Elephas maximus indicus: one gene and its partner. The protein of the gene in region 1 purifies or fractionates together with the protein of each later gene. This does not show direct contact. Links are inferred from orthologs where the notes say so. Each region holds a gene or a part of one and is shown on either strand. Other genes may lie near its edges.

Evidence for each region. The genes of interacting proteins can lie anywhere in the genome.
Region 2: the proteins of OGT (region 1) and CXXC1 purify together in Homo sapiens (affinity purification with mass spectrometry; 3 studies listed by BioGRID and IntAct, with this or other methods). This does not show direct contact. The link is inferred for Elephas maximus indicus from reciprocal best matches to the Homo sapiens genes OGT and CXXC1.

The regions. Positions count from the first base shown.
Region 1 is NC_064846.1:98,167,425-98,175,197, reverse strand, and holds the start of OGT (UDP-N-acetylglucosamine--peptide N-acetylglucosaminyltransferase 110 kDa subunit), read left to right. Parts: upstream 1-4,714; 5' UTR 4,715-4,946; coding exon 4,947-4,983; intron 4,984-7,773. UniProt on the Homo sapiens protein: Catalyzes the transfer of a single N-acetylglucosamine from UDP-GlcNAc to a serine or threonine residue in cytoplasmic and nuclear proteins resulting in their modification with a beta-linked N-acetylglucosamine (O-GlcNAc).
Region 2 is NC_064829.1:58,942,603-58,950,393, reverse strand, and holds the start of CXXC1 (CXXC-type zinc finger protein 1), read left to right. Parts: upstream 1-4,693; 5' UTR 4,694-5,566; coding exon 5,567-5,569; exon of another isoform or gene 5,570-5,655; intron 5,656-6,425; coding exon 6,426-6,544; intron 6,545-6,646; coding exon 6,647-6,747; intron 6,748-7,071; coding exon 7,072-7,307; intron 7,308-7,395; coding exon 7,396-7,572; intron 7,573-7,791. UniProt on the Homo sapiens protein: Transcriptional activator that exhibits a unique DNA binding specificity for CpG unmethylated motifs with a preference for CpGG.

The DNA of each region.
Region 1 (7,773 bases):
AGTAGAACTGCCCCATAGGGTTTTCGAGGCTGTAATCTTTTTTTTTTTTAATCTTTACGGAAGCAGACTGCCACATCTTTCTACTGCGGAGAGCTGGGGGGTTTGAAACGTCGACCTTTCGGTTAGCAGCCAAGTGCTTAACCACTGCACCACCATGGCTCTTTCTTTAACCATTACCCACCACCACTGCCGTCGAGTTGATTCCGACTCATAGCAACTACCAAAAAAAGAATCATCTTTTACAAAATCACTGGCTAATGATGGTTGTTGTACTATCATGAAATCAGTTTCTTCTTTACTTTTATTTCCAGAAGGTTTTAAGACTACTTTTCTTCATTATGGAAACCCTGGTGGTGTAGTGGTTAAGAGTTCAGCTGTTAACCAAAAGGACAGCAGCTCAAATCCACCAGGTGCTCCTTGGGAACTCTATGGGGCAGTTTTACTCTGTCCTACAGGGCATTGACTCGACAGCAACGAGTTTTCTTCATTATGACTGGTTACCTAATTCAGAGGAATTGGTTTTTCTCTGGAATATTATCCCTAAACATCTGGAGAGGCTACAATGCCACATTGGTGTATTTTCCCCGCTTCGTTTTACCTTTGGAGCCATTTTCCACTGGCAGCGGCAGTGGCAGCACACTGGGCTCTGCTTCCTTTCACAACTCTGGCGTGGCTGCCACAAAATGTGTGCTGTTTTAAGCTGCTAAGTTTGTGGTAATTTGTTATGTGGTAATAGAAAATTAATACACCATTAATGGTGTTATCAGGGTGGCAAAATTTGGGATTGGAGCTGAAGAAACAGCTGATTTATAAAAATTGTTGTACATGAAAGGGAAAAAAGAAAAGAAAAAGAACGAGAAATCAGTGGAAAGAGAAGAAATACGCAAAAGTACCTCCTTCAATGCCCAGCTCAGGCCTTCTCCCTCACCTTCCTTCCAGCCTGAAGTGATTGTTTTCTCCCCAGGTATTTTTAGACAGAAACATATATATATATATATATATATATATATATATATATATATATATATATATATATATATATGAATCAGAATTGACTCGATGGCAGTGGGTTTTGGTTTTGGTGTTTATATATATATATGTATATATATATATACATATATATATTTTATATATATATATACACATATATATGGTGCTTTAAGTGAAAAAAAATTTTTTTAAGTGAAAGTTTACAAATCAAGTCAGTCTCTCATACAAAAACTTATATACACCTTGGTCTCCCCCTAGTGTGACAGCACACTCCTCCCCTCCACCCTGTATTCCCTGTGTCCATTCAGTCAGCTCCTGTCCCCCTCTGCCTTCTCGTCTTGCCTCCAGACAGGAGTTGCCCACATAGGCTCATGTGTCTACATAAGCTAAGGAGCTCACTCTTCACCAGTATCATTTTTTATCCCATAGTCCAGTCCAATCCCTGTCTGAAGAGTTGGCTTCAGGAATGGTTCCAGTCTTGGGCTAACAAAGGGTCCAGAGACCATGACCTCCAGGATCCCTCTAGTCTCAGTCAGACCATTAAGCCTGGTCTTTTTACTAGAATTTGAAATCTGCATCCCACTGTTCCCTTGCTCCATCAGGGATTCTCTGTTGTGTTCCTTGTCAGGGCAGTCATTAGTGGTAGTTGGGCACCATCTGGTTCTTCCGGTCTCAGACGAATGTAGTCTGGTTTATGTGGCCCTTTCTATCTCTTGGGCTCATCTTTACCTTTGTCTTTGGTGTTCTTCATTCTCCTTTGCTCCAGGTGGATTGAGACCAATTGATGCATCCTAGATGGCCACTTGCTAGTGTTTAAGACCCCAGACGCCACTCACCAAAGTGGGATGCAGAAGGTTTTCTTAATACTTTCTGTTACACCAATTGACCTAGATGTCCCCTTAAACCATGGTCCCCAAAACCCTGTCCCTGCTACTCTGGCCTTTGAAGTGTTCAGCTGTATTCAGGAAACTTCTTTGCTTTTGGTTTAATCCAGTTGTGCTGACCTCGCCTATATTGTGTGTTTAGATAGAACATATTTTTTAAAAATAATTTATTTTTGTTGTTGTTGGGAATATATACAGCAGAACATACATGAATTTGACAATTTCTACATGTACAGTTCAGGGACATTGATCATATTCTTCGAGTTGTGCAACCATTCTCACCCTCCTTTTCTGAATTGTTCCTCTCCATTAGCATAAACTCACTGCCCCTTATAAGTTTCCTGTCTAATCTTTCAAGTTGCCAATTTGATCCCATATAGATAGAACTTAAAAATGCACAATACTCAAGGAAGACATTCTTTACTAGTTAAGTTAAACTGTTGTCTGATTTTAAGAAGGCTTCAGGGGATATTTTTGGCTTAAGGTTTAAAGGTTATCTTGGGGCAATAGTTTCAGAGGTTCACCCAACCTCCATGGTTCCAGAAAGTGTGGCATCTATGAGAATTTGAAAATCTGTTCTGTGTTTCCCCCCTTTTGATCAGGATTTTTCTATAGAATCTTTGATCAAAATGTTTAGTAATGATAGCCAGGCACCATCCAGTTCTTCTTGCCTCATGGCTAAGGAGGCAGTTGTTCATGGAGGCAATTAGCCACACACACAAGAACATATTTTATCACTTAAATAATATTCTCCTGTATTGTTCTCTAGTGGCTAGGCTTCAAGTTCCTTGAGGGCAAGGATCCTGTCTTGTTCATTTCTGTATCCCCCACACTGCCTTGCATACAGAGACTCTAGTAATTGTTATTTGATTGGCTGAAGAAGGTGTGTTTGTCTGATGACTAAGTCCTTCAAGCTAAACCCTCCAAATGCTATTCCTAGAAGGTACCTGGAATGAGATTGCTGAGATTCCAACAGAGTTTTTTTTTCTTGTTGTGCCCCTGTGAGCCCCACCATCCTGCTTTCCCTAGCAGCAAAATTGTATCATAATATCCTTTGACTCTTCTCTCAGGGTGGGGAGCCTTAGACCACAAGTTTCAACGGGCCAAATGCAGGGAGCATTACCTGGCATTTAACAACATAAAGCATTCTACTTAATTAGCTATCACCTGTTAATCAGTTAGACCCAAACATCTGCCAATAGAATTTGAGAAGTCTGTTCTAAAAGTTGAAAAACTGAGTTTATTCATCACAGATGGGGTACTTTTAGTGAGAGGGGAAAGAAAAAAAAAAAGATTTTACCAGTTAAATCCAATTAAGAGATTGGTGCCCGATTTTCAGGACAGTTTGTGCAGTCAGGAAACCCTGGTGGTGTAGTGGTTAAGTGCTAAGGCTGCTGACCAAAAGGTCGGCAGTTCAAGTCCACCAGGCGCTCCCTGGAAGCCCTACAGAGCAGTTCTACTCTATCCTATAGGGTCGCTGTGAGTCGGAATCGACTCGATGGCAGTGGGTTTGGTTTGTGCAGTTTGTCTTTTTCACTGCATGATGTGACTCCTGATTATGTGATGGAAGAAATGATCATGTTATGACTTTTCTCTGTGCTCCTATCCATAATTAAAAAGTTTGTGGACTGTCTGAAAGAAATTAAAGCAGAGCATTGAGGACTTTTTTGTTTTTTAATGTAGTAGTAAAAACTTTTTGAAGAAATTCACTGACCTGCTTTCTTAGACCAAGGACTTTTTGAAATAAAAGGACACTTAGAGATCCAAATCATGGCCTCTAGTGGCTTATACTAATTTCTTGCTAATGTGGCAAGCTGTCTTAAATCCTTTCTGAAACAAGATATGAGGTATAAATTAATACTAATGTGACAACATATCTGAACACGGACTTGAAACTGCAGTGGGATAATAAGAGCTGATTTGTTCAAGGAAGTGGAGGTAATTCAGACTCAAACTAGATGTGTGGTTTAGGCAGATGGGAAATGAATTCATTTATCTCTGTTGAACTGCTTCTGAGCTCAGTGGAATCTCAGATTGTGATGATTTGCAGAGCTATTTGGTGGAAATGAAGCCACAACTCAGAAGAGTCATGGATTTTGACGAATATGAGTCATTTAACATTTCAATGCCTGCCTTTGGAGTGCAAACCCTCAGGGTGTCCCTGAGTTATTAAGCATTAACATCTGCCCCATTAATGTGGGCAGAACTATCCTGAATACCAAAACGATTTTCAAATTTTGGGCTATATGACCAAAACCTGAGATGTTTGCATTCATTTGGCCCTGTGAAAAGTATCAGTCGTTTTCATCAATGTCTGGGGTCTGAATTAAGACGTGTTCAAATTGGAACCCCCTCCGCCATCATTTTGAAGAACAGTTCAGCTTTTAAATAAGATTATTTACATTTACTTGCTTAGAACTGATCCATGATTTGTAATCATCAGCCTTGTAACTATCCATTTTTTGTGTGAATAAACTTGATTAAATTTTTTAGACTCCTTTGGCATTTATGTTTAAAATCTACATCATTGGCGATACTTTACCACTTCGGAAAAAATTTATGCGGCAAATGTATGGGTTTTTTTAACCTTATGCTTCACTATAATAAAAAAACAAAACAAAACTTGGGCGCTCATGCCCTAGACAGTGTGCCCTAGACGCGAGTCAGGTTGACAGGGCTGCTCGCATGCGCTCTCGACACAATCGTGTTTGTCGCAATGGGCCCTACGCGGAAGGCTACATAAGAGCAAGCGACTTTGATTATAGTCATTTTGTCGTCTGTAGCGCCGGTTACCGCGCTACCTCCGCTCTGGTACTTGATTGTAACAGAAAGTAGTTCCGGCCCGTGTTGTTTCGGCCGAGGAGCCGTCGCCGCCATTTCAAGATCGTGAGAGGTAGATGGTCAACCAGAGTTCCTAAGGTTCGAAGCCTATGACGCCTGCCGCCGCTTAAGACTCACAGGACACCAGTACAGCTCCTGCTCTCTTACCACTACCTCCAGAAACATTGTTGCCACTAGCGGCGGCGGCGGGACTCAATTACCCCCTCCTCGCTCTCCCCCAAGAAGCTCCAGATGGCGTCTTCCGTGGGCAACGTGGCCGACAGCACAGGTATCGGTGTCCAGTTCTATCTTAGCAGACGCCGCTTCGGGGTCTCGCGCCGTTCTCTGCCTCTCACCGCCCCCTCCCTTCCCTCTAGCCGCCCCCATTACATCAGTGGCATTGCTGAGCTGTTCGTGTTCTACCGGCATCTGGTCGGTGTTTCCTCTGTCTTGCCTTTCTCAAGCATTTATCTCTTTCATTCTTTCTGCTTTTTGCGTCCTTTCTGGCTTCTCAATGTGTGTGTTCTCGCGTTCTACTCGGAACGCTTCTAGCACACGTGCGCGCTAAGAATGGACTGCATTGGAATCCCTGCCCTTTCACTCTTCGTTCACTACCGTTCTCTGTCCGAAACCAGTTCACCGCCCTCTCCTCTTCTCTCTCCACAGCCCCCTCCAACCCTTCCGCCTTAGCCAGGTTTGGTTCTTTGTCAATCTAGGGCGGGGGTGCCATTCCGGTGTAATCATATCCCCGCTTTGCATCACCCAAAGACGAGCAGAAGCTCGCCGGTTGCTGCAAGGAACCTGAGAAGTGGGGACATTGGGCAAGCACCCCGCTGGGCAGCGCCTTTCTAGTGTTCTTTCGGTTGAGTGGCCCGGGTTTGGATTGGAAATTTCCAGGGGTTCGCTTTGCCGTCGCCCAATTCCGCATGCTGCCGCTGGCCCGGACTTCCCACCCTACTCTCCTTTCCCTCTCGCGGGGTACCACGCCCTTTCCTTCCAGAGGTTGTAAGCTTTGTGGTCCAGTTCCTACCCCTGTGGGACAAACCAGCCTGGTGCGCTTTTTTCGCACTGACCATCCTGCTTTCAGAATTTTCGCTTTGTGTTACTTTCTCAATGTATTCCTCCGCCGCCGCCTCTGGGTCTTCCATCCCCATCCTATAGCCCAGAGTCTCTTTTTTTCATAGGGTGTATGTATTTTTAAGTTTCATCCCTGCTTGAAGAGTTTGTAAAGCAACTGGAGTGTAGCTGCACAAGTGCAAGGCGGTTGCCCTTTTAGACAATTCAGTCGAAAGCATTTGGTACACGAACAACAAAAAAAAAACCCAACCAAATTCTAGGGGTTTCCTTTAGCTGCTTTTCCATATTGAGGCTGTTTGGGGCAGGGAGGGAGGGGGGATTGAGCGGTGGTTCTAAGGTTTCCTACGAGGTTTTTTTTTTGTTTGTTTATTGGTTGAAATGTGTCAAAGGTTTTTTATTTGTTATTTTTGGACATTGTGCTGTAAGTAATAGGTGAATCTTCAATAGTCTCTTATCCATAATTATAGGTGGTGGGATTAATAATTAGTCAGTGGTCCCCTCCTCCTTGCCCCATAGTGATTTTTAAAGGTTTAAGATTCTGGTTATGTACTAGCTTGCCCTTTTCTGAGTGTGTTATTTTATTAGAGGAAGTGTTATAATAGCAGATAAGCAACTTTGAAAAGTGACAAAGTAATGTGTTAAAATAAGGAGCTAGGAAGCTCTGAAGAATTATTTAAAATGTAATCTTGTAGTTTCTACTAGAGAGGTAAACTCCCCCAGATTTGGATGCAAGTCCCTCTGCTCTTTGTGTTCGTGGTCAGCTGTGCATTCCAGTCAGAAAATTTACTTGCTTTCCAGAACACACACCAGCTTGAACGATTGGGGTGCTAGGCTCAAATTTGAGTTTGTCACTGTGACCTTGGTAGAGTTTAAATAATTTGTCCGTGGTTTCCCATTTCAACCATCTAGATAGATCTAGGCATGTTGTTTGTTAAAGTGCCATGGTCAGATTCCCAGTAACGCATTACTGTTCAAATAAGCATTTGAGATTGAGACTTGGGCAGTTTGCTAGGTCCCCCCACTCCCCCCGAAGGCCCGGTGGCGCAGCGGTTAAGTGCTTGGCTGCTAACCAAAAGTTTGGCAGTTCGAATCCACCAGCTGCTCCTTGGAAACCCTATGGGACAGTACTGCTCTGTCCTGTAGGGCCACTATGAGTCGGAATTGGAATTGACTCCACGGCAACTGGTTTGGTTTGGTTTTTGGGGGGCTTTAGCCATTTTTTTAGCCATATCCTCTATCTTTCTGTATCTGAATTAAGTCACACATAGCAAAGTTTTTTTTATTTGGTATTCATTTCTTGTTGAACTTTATCAGATGTTTTATATTAGCATTTTCCTTTTTTTTTTTTTTAAACCATTACAGTTGTAGGTAACTGCTTGGTTTATATAGGGTTGTTTTCAGTGTCTTAATTCTTCAGTGCCAGAGCTCTTTGGAAAATGCTAGTGTTAAAACAGCGTGGGTGGGGCTTAGCTAATTTAGTATCCTTGTGAGTTTTGGGATGGTAGAAGAGCAATATAATCTTGGGTCTTTATTTAAATTGTTGGATGACCCCTTTAAATATTTTGGCTCTTGACAGATGTATTTATCTTGTTTATCAGCTGTTTTAAAAATAGCACTTTGACTTCTAGTTTTTTTCCTTATGTTCAGTTTCTAGAGTCACCCTTTAAAAAAATTAAATTGCGAAATATAGAAACATTAATATAAAGAGTAAAAACACACCCAGGTAAAGAGATACATTGTTACTAGTACACCTCCCCCACCCTGCAAATCCAACCTAAAGCCATTATGTTTCCCAGTAGGTTATTTGACATTAGTAAGTCTTTGTGACCTTGCAAATCACACGTTTTATGTTTTGTTTCTGGATGTTAACTAAGGGCTAAGGAATAACGTTCATTGCATCTTTAGATGTTACCTATGATTTATAATTTAAAAGTACTTTTAATCATAAAAACTGTAATATTGGAAAGTAAATAATTCCTATCTAGTTTGGGAAGGAAAGTAT
Region 2 (7,791 bases), on another chromosome or scaffold:
TAAACTGTAGTCTCTATACATTTGTCTTTTTATATAAATGAGTTCATACAGTATTTGTTCTTTTGTGACTGACTTATTTCACTCCACATAATGGCCTGAAGCTCCACCTATGTTGTAGCATTGTCAGAATGGGGTGGTGGGGGCATCTGACCTCCTCTAACCTCACGAGGGGAAGGAGACTCATTATCAGCATCAGCAGTCCAAGGCTAATTCCCATGAGACGCAGGTCAGACAAACCTCTGTTTCCAATCGTTTTACCAATTCTGACACCAGCCTTCCTTCCCACAGCACTCTCTACCTCTCTGCTGGGTTTGATAATTCATTGTAAAGGCCACACAGAACTCACAGACAATACTTACAATTATGGGATTTATTAGGGGGGTAACAGGTTACAGTTCAGGATCAGGAATGACTCAGGATACAGTTCTTCCATCAGGACAGCTTCTTCCCAACTGTGCCCACAGACAGGCCACTCTCTGGCCCTCAGCCCCTCAGACTCTCAACCTCACCTCTACCCTGCTCAGGCAAGTGTTACAAAGCTTTTTAGTTCTACCAGTAAGTGCCCAGAGGCACCCCACCCTGCCAGTAAATCTCAGCCCAAAGGTACTCAGCTCTCTAGCTCTGTGGGTCAGTAAGCCTAGCTCCGACGACAAGTACCCAGAGGAACCCTACTTTGCCAGTAAGCCTCCTGGCTGAAGACACTTATCTCTCTCACTGTGTAGGTTGGCGCACTGACTGTAACTGCCTTGCTCCCTGGGCCAAGAAGCCCATTGTGCCATCTCACGCAGGTCTCCTGGTTCTGCTGCTGCCGTTTTTCTGCTGCTGCTTCTCACAGCCTTGAGCCATCTTCAGTGTTATAGCTCTCTCTTTCTGTCTCCTGGGTCTAGGAGGCTGTAAGTGTGGGGAACCTGGGTTCAAAAGGACGTGCTCTGCTTCCATCTCTTCTTGGTGGTAGTGAGGTGCCCTTTTCTGCCTCTGAGATGGCTCATTTTAAGCCCAGTGGGATGGCAAAATCAACCAATCCTCTTGTTAGTGTTCCATACACCTTATTTGCATGTTCCCACCCCAACAAGGTTGCCATTCATCTTATTTGCATTATTAGCAAGTTGTCCAATCCCCTTGGTGAATCACAAGCACCTTATTTTAATAGTCCAACCCAATCGTTTTGTAGGAGTTACAAGACCATGGCGGGAAAGGCTACAAAAAAGAGATCCATCATACCACAAGCATATATCAGGACATCCTTTTTCTTTCTGGTTGAGTAGTGTTATGAATTGAATTGTGTCCCCCTCAAAATGTGTGTCAACTTGGTTAGGTCATAATTTTCAGTATTGTGTGATTGTCTACGATTTTGTCATTGATGATTTTCCTATGTGTTGTAAGTCCTACCTCTATGATGTTAATGTGTCAGGTTTAGAGGCAGTTATATTAGCGAGGCAGAACTCAAGCTACTAGATTAGCTTGTGTTTTGAGTCAATCTCCTTTGAGATATAGAAGAGAGAAGGAAGCAGAGACGTAGGGGGATCTCATACCACCAAGAAAGTAGTGCCAGAAGCAGAGTGTGTCCTTTGGACCCAGGACCAGTCCACTGAGAAGCTCCTAGACCAGGGGAAGATTGATGACCAGGACCTTCCCCAGAACCAACAGAGAGAGCCTTCCCCTAGTGCTGAAACTGAATTTCTAGCCTCCTAAACTGTGGTTAAGAGCTCAGGTTGCTAACCAAAAGGTTGGGAGTTTGGATTCACCAGCCACTCCTTGGAAACTCTATTGGGCAGTTCTACTCTGTCCTACAGGTTTTCTATGAGTCAGTATCAATTTGATGGCAATGGGTAAACTGTGAGAGAATGAATTTCTCTTTGTTAAAGCCATCCACTTGTGGTCTTTCTGTTACAGCAGCACTAGATGACAAAGACAAGTAATAACCCATAGTATGCATGTATTACATTTTGTTTATCCATTCATTCATTGATGGACATTTAGGTTGTCTCCACCTTTTGGCTATTGTGAATAGTGCTGCAGTGAACACTGGTTTACATCTCTTCCAGTGGCTGCTTTCAAGTCCCTTGTGTATATTCTCAGCAGTTGGATTGCTGAGTCATATGGTAGCTCTATTTCTTTTTTTTAATGAATATTGTACCCAATTTAAGTAAAAAAAAAAAAAAACCTTTACAGGAGAGAATATTAAAAACCTGTAGACATCGAGTCAATTTCAACTCATAGGATAGAGTAGAACTACCCCATAGGGTTTCCGAGGAGTGGCTGATGAATTCAAACTGCTAACCTTTTGGTTAGCAGTCACGCTCTTAACCACTGTGCCCCCAAGGCTCCAAGAGAATATTGGGAGACCCCAACTAAACTAGAAAATCAAAGTGGACATCTGCAGCCTATGGCAGTAGGGGTGGAGGGGAGGACTTGGTGACATTGGCTGACTGTGACTTCAAAATCTACTTCTGATCTGGCCACTTCTCACTAGGACCCACACTCATCATCATTTAAGGTCTTCCATCATTGCTCATGAATGATTCTGAGGGTAAGAACAACCAAAACCTAGCCTGTTGTCATTGAGTAAATTCTAACTGGTAGTGACCCTCTAGGACAGAGTAGAATTGCCCCATGGGGTTTCCAAGGCTGTAAATCTTTTATTTATTTATGATTTTTATTGTGCTTTAAGGTAAGTTTACAAATCAAGTCAGTCTCTCATACAAAAATTTATATACACCTTGCTATGTATTCCTAGTTGCTCTCCCCCTAATGAGTCAGCACACGCCTTCTCTCCACCCTGTATTCCCTGTGTCCATTCAGCCAGCTTTTGTCCCCCTCTGCCTTCCCATCTCCCCTCCAGACAGGAGCTGCCCACATAGTCTCATGTGTCTACTTGAGCCAAGAAGCTCACTCCTCACTAGTATCATTTTCTATCTTATAGTCCAGTCCAATTCCTGTCTGAAGAGTTGGCTTTGGGAATGGTTCCAGTCTTGGGCTAACAGAAGGTCTGGGGACCATGGCCTCTGGGGTCCTTCCAGTCTCAGTCAGACCATTAAGTCTGGTCTTTTTACGAGAATTTGAGGTCTGCATCCCACAGTTCTCCTGCTCCATCAGGGATTCTCTGTTGTGCTCCCTATCAGGGCAGTCATCAGTTATAGCTGGGCACCATCTAGTTCTTCTGGTCTCAGGCTGATGTAGTCTCTGATTTATGTGGCCTTTTCTTTTTTTCTCCAAGGCTGTAAATCGTTATGGAAGCAGACTGCCATATCTTTCTCCTGTGGAGCACCTGGTGAGCTCTGTGTGAGTGCACCCTAAAAATCTAAGGTGCTTGGCATAACTAAGGTGGCTGACACAGGTTTGAATCAGACTCTATTTTGCTTCTAACCTTCACTTCTGCTTTTAGATTGTGGATGGAATTTTCCACTTTTGTAAAGTTTTAACTACCCTACTTGAGCAGTCAAGGAGGGAGCAAGAATGTGGTTAAACATATGGCAAAATGTTACCTAAAGAGGGGGTCTTGTGACTGTACTTTGAAAGATTGCTTGTGCAGATCTTTCTCAGAAAGAATGTTAAAATAGATAAGCTGATGTCAAGATTTGTTCATTGCTCTAAACTGTATGTAAAAATCCCTCTCTACATAACCCCTCTGCAGCACTTTGCACTTGCTTTGTGCTGCCTGTTTTGAACCGTTCTAGTCCTCAATAAAACTATTGTTCTCTTGTGGCACAGTGAATTATTTAGTATGGCCCTTCTAGCCGTAGTTTTTGGAGCTCTCACCAAATGACAGGGTGGGACTATGTAAATGAGGTGCTTGTGTCCCACCAAAGGAATTGGATAGCTTGCTAATAATGTAAATAATGTGCATGGCACCCTTGTGTAGGTGGGATCATGCAAATAAGGTATATGGCACCCTAATGAGAGAATTGGTCAATTTTGCCATCCCTCTAGGCTTAAAATGAGCCATCCCAGAGGCAAGAAGAGAAGATCTCAACACCACCAAGAAAGAAGAGCCAGGAGCAGAGGCTATTTTTTGGATCCAGGATCCCTGAGCTGAGAACTTCCTACATCCAGGAGACAGAAAGGAGCTGTAACATGGAAGACAGTGAGAGACTTGCAAGATGGCAGAAATTAGGAGACCAGCGCAAGAAGGCTGCAGTGGGGCTTCCCAGCCAAAGGAGCTAGAGCTGAACACGGTGAGGCACAAGGCTTATTGGCAGAGTGGGGTGCCCCCCGGGCATTTATCAACAGAGCTAAAAGAGTTTGTAACACTCGCCTGAGCAGAGCAAAAGCCAAAGGACCAGCAAGAGGCCAAGAGGTTGGAGAGGCCAAGAGTCTGAGGGGCCAGAGAGTCTGAAATGAGGCTGTCCTTATGGAAGAACTGTGTCCTGAGCATTCAAGAGCCTGAATTGTAATCGGTTACTTCCCTAATAAACACCATAAGCGTGAGTATTGTCTGCGAGTTCTGTGTGGTCATTGCAACAAGTTATCAAACCCAAAGAGAAGTAAAGAGTGTCCTGGGAGGGGACAGTTGGTGTCAGAATTGGTAAAAAGGTTGGAGGGTGGAGGCATGTCAGACTTCCACCTCGTAGGAATCAGTCTTAGCTTGTTCCTATTGGTTCTCCTCCCTTGTGAATGTAGAGGTCAGACACCTCCCCCGCCCCGCCCACAAGGGGGTTACGTCTCTATTTACAGATCATGCTCAATTTTAAGCTTTGACAGCCGAACTGCTGACATTTAGGTTAGCAGTCGAGCGCTTTAACCACTGCGCCACCAGGGCGAGGCTGTTCCTGTAAAAACAGCAAAGGCCCAGAGGCTGACCCGCGCCTGGCTAATTTGAGGAATAGTGAGGAAGCGTGAAGAAGAAAATTTCTGTGAGGTGAAGTCAGAGATGTAACGGGGAGGACTGACTGCCTTCCTAACGCGATCCATATAACCTGTTGGCTCCCCATTAACGCATGTGGAAAGGAAAAGTGATTGAGTGGAGGAATGAATGAAAGGTTTCATCTGATCCGTTTCCTCAGAGGCCGCTTGGCCACTGCACTACAAACAGTCGTTGTACGGAGTCAACTGTCAACATGGCGGCGCCTTTGCGGTAGCCACAACTAGGGCGCTGCCATGGTGCCTGTGACTTTATGAACTCGGCCAGGTTACGGAATCAGACTCCAAGATGACAGCGGCTTCATGGAATTCGCGCAGTAGGTGAGGCCATATTGCTTGTTAACGTCGATACAGTACAGGCGGTCAGCGTACGGATTCGACCGACAAGGTGGCAGCCCCCAGAGGAAAGCTGCCATACAGGCGCTGCCATGTTTCACGGGAACTTACGGACTCGGTCGCCTTACGGACTCGATAGTCAAGATGGCGGCTCCTAAGAGCCATTCAGGGCTCTAGGCGGGCGTATAGCTTGTTTGCCGCGGAGCCGCCGTACGGAGCCTGCGCAATAGGGTACGGTGCCCGGTTGGCGCGACCAGAAGCGGAAGTGGTTCTAGTCGCCTTTGCAACGGCCGCGGACGCCGCGGAGTGGTCTGTGCAGGTTACCTTGTCGCTGGCCGAGGTTGCGAGCGGGTGCTTGGGAATTGGAGATATGGTGAGTACCAGTCCAGGGAGTTCTGCGGTAGAGGTCGGTGAGGTTCGTAATGGTGAAGTCCGACGACAGACGCATGGGAGTTTGTGGTGAGCTATAACAGGAGCCTGTGGGCGGAATGATGGGGGGGTCTGTGGTGAGCCTCAGAGGGTCCTTTGGGAAGAACGACGGAGGTCTGTGGTGAGCCATGATGAAAGTACTGTGAGGGGCCAGAAGGGGGTCCATAATGGGAGGTTAGTGGGGATCACTGATGGCGGTTCTGTGGAGAACCGTGATGAGGGGTTCTTTGGACAGAGTGATAAAGAGTTTGTGATGAGCCGTGTCGGACGGTCTGTAGTGCGGCGTGAGGAGGGTGTGTGGAGTAAATAGTGGGAAATCTGTGGAGAACAATGATGAGGAGTTTGTGTGGTAAATCACGGGGTGTCTGTGAGAACCCGTGGTGGAAGTCTGTGGGGAGCCACGGAGGAGGCAGTATATGGCGAGTACTAGGATGTTTGTGATGAGCCTTTATGAGGGTTTGTGTTTAAAGTCATGGGGTGTCAGTGGCATGAGTGATGGGAGGTCTGGGGTAGAATAAAAAGGGTCTATAGGCAGTAATGAGGTGTTACGGGGGGGTCTGTAAGGACCATGCTGCTGTTGTCAGGTGCTGTCAAGTCGGTTCTAATAGTGACCTTATGTACAACAGAACAAAATCCTGCCTGGTCTATAAGGACCATAGTGGAGAAACTTATGGGGAGGCATGATGGTAGTTCTCAGCAAAGCCATGGGTATCTGTGGCGAGGCATGATAAGAGTTGTAATGAGGGGGAGTGGTGCCATTTTGGGGGTTCTCTGAGGAGTCATAATGGGGGATCCCACAGGAGGGGGACGGTTCAGACCCAGAGCCACCAGATGCTGGGGAGGATAGCAAGTCGGAGAATGGGGAGAATGCGCCCATCTACTGCATCTGCCGCAAGCCAGACATCAACTGCTTCATGATGTGAGCCGGGGAGACGCGGGTGGGGTTGATACCTGGCAGGGTTGGGTGATGCTGATGGGGCCTGGGCCCTCACTTCTCCACCACCCGCCCCATCCTCTGCAGCGGGTGTGACAACTGCAATGAGTGGTTTCATGGGGACTGCATCCGGATCACTGAGAAGATGGCCAAAGCCATCCGGGAGTGGTACTGTCGGGAGTGCCGAGGTGAGGGGGAGGTGGGATAGACAGGGCAGGCAGGTGGAGCTTCAAAGGGCGAGGAAGAGGAGGAGGGAACCACAATGGGAGGGGGGTGTGGGAAATAATGATGATGTGTCTGGGGGCAGAGCAATTGTTGGTCCGTGGTGAGCTGGAACTGGGGCTCCATCGTGAGCCACAATAGAGGGTCCTGCAAGAGGGAGCAGCTTTGCCCTGGAGCAGGGGGATGGAGCGGGTGGGTGGTATGGGAAGGAAAGGAAAATAAAGAGTTCCGGGACCATCCAAACCACCCCCAATACTGAACTGCCAGTGGCCCCATCCTCCCCCCGACAGAGAAGGACCCCAAACTGGAGATCCGCTACCGGCACAAGAAGTCACGGGAGCGGGACGGCAGTGAGCGGGACAGCAGTGAGCCCCGGGATGAGGGTGGAGGGCGCAAGAGGCCTGCCCCGGATCCAGACCTGCAGCGCCGGGTGGGGTCTGGGACAGGGGTCGGGGCCATTCTTGCTCGGGGCTCTGCTTCACCCCACAAAGCCTCTCCACAGCCCTTGGTGCCCACACCCAGCCAGGTGAGTGACTTTGGTGGTTGGGATGGATAGGATGGTTCCATCCTGCACCCTGTATGGGTTCCTGATTCATTCCTGTCATCTTCCCCAGCATCACCAGCAGCAGCAACAGATCAAACGGTCAGCCCGCATGTGCGGTGAGTGTGAGGCGTGCCGGCGTACTGAAGACTGTGGCCACTGTGACTTCTGCCGGGACATGAAGAAGTTTGGAGGCCCCAACAAGATCCGGCAGAAGTGCCGGCTACGCCAGTGCCAGCTTCGGGCCCGGGTGAGCATGGGTGGAGTTGGGCAGGGTCAGGTGGGGTGGGGACATTGTGTCCAGGAGCGGCTGGTTCAGTTTATGCATGGGTGGATTGGGTTGTATCCAGGCAGGTGGGAAGGGGCCTGACACGTCCAGATAGATGGGGCATAACCAGATGTATTGGACTGGCAGGAGATCCCATAGCCCTGTATGTATTTGAGTGGGCAGGGTGAGGCCAGGTGTTTC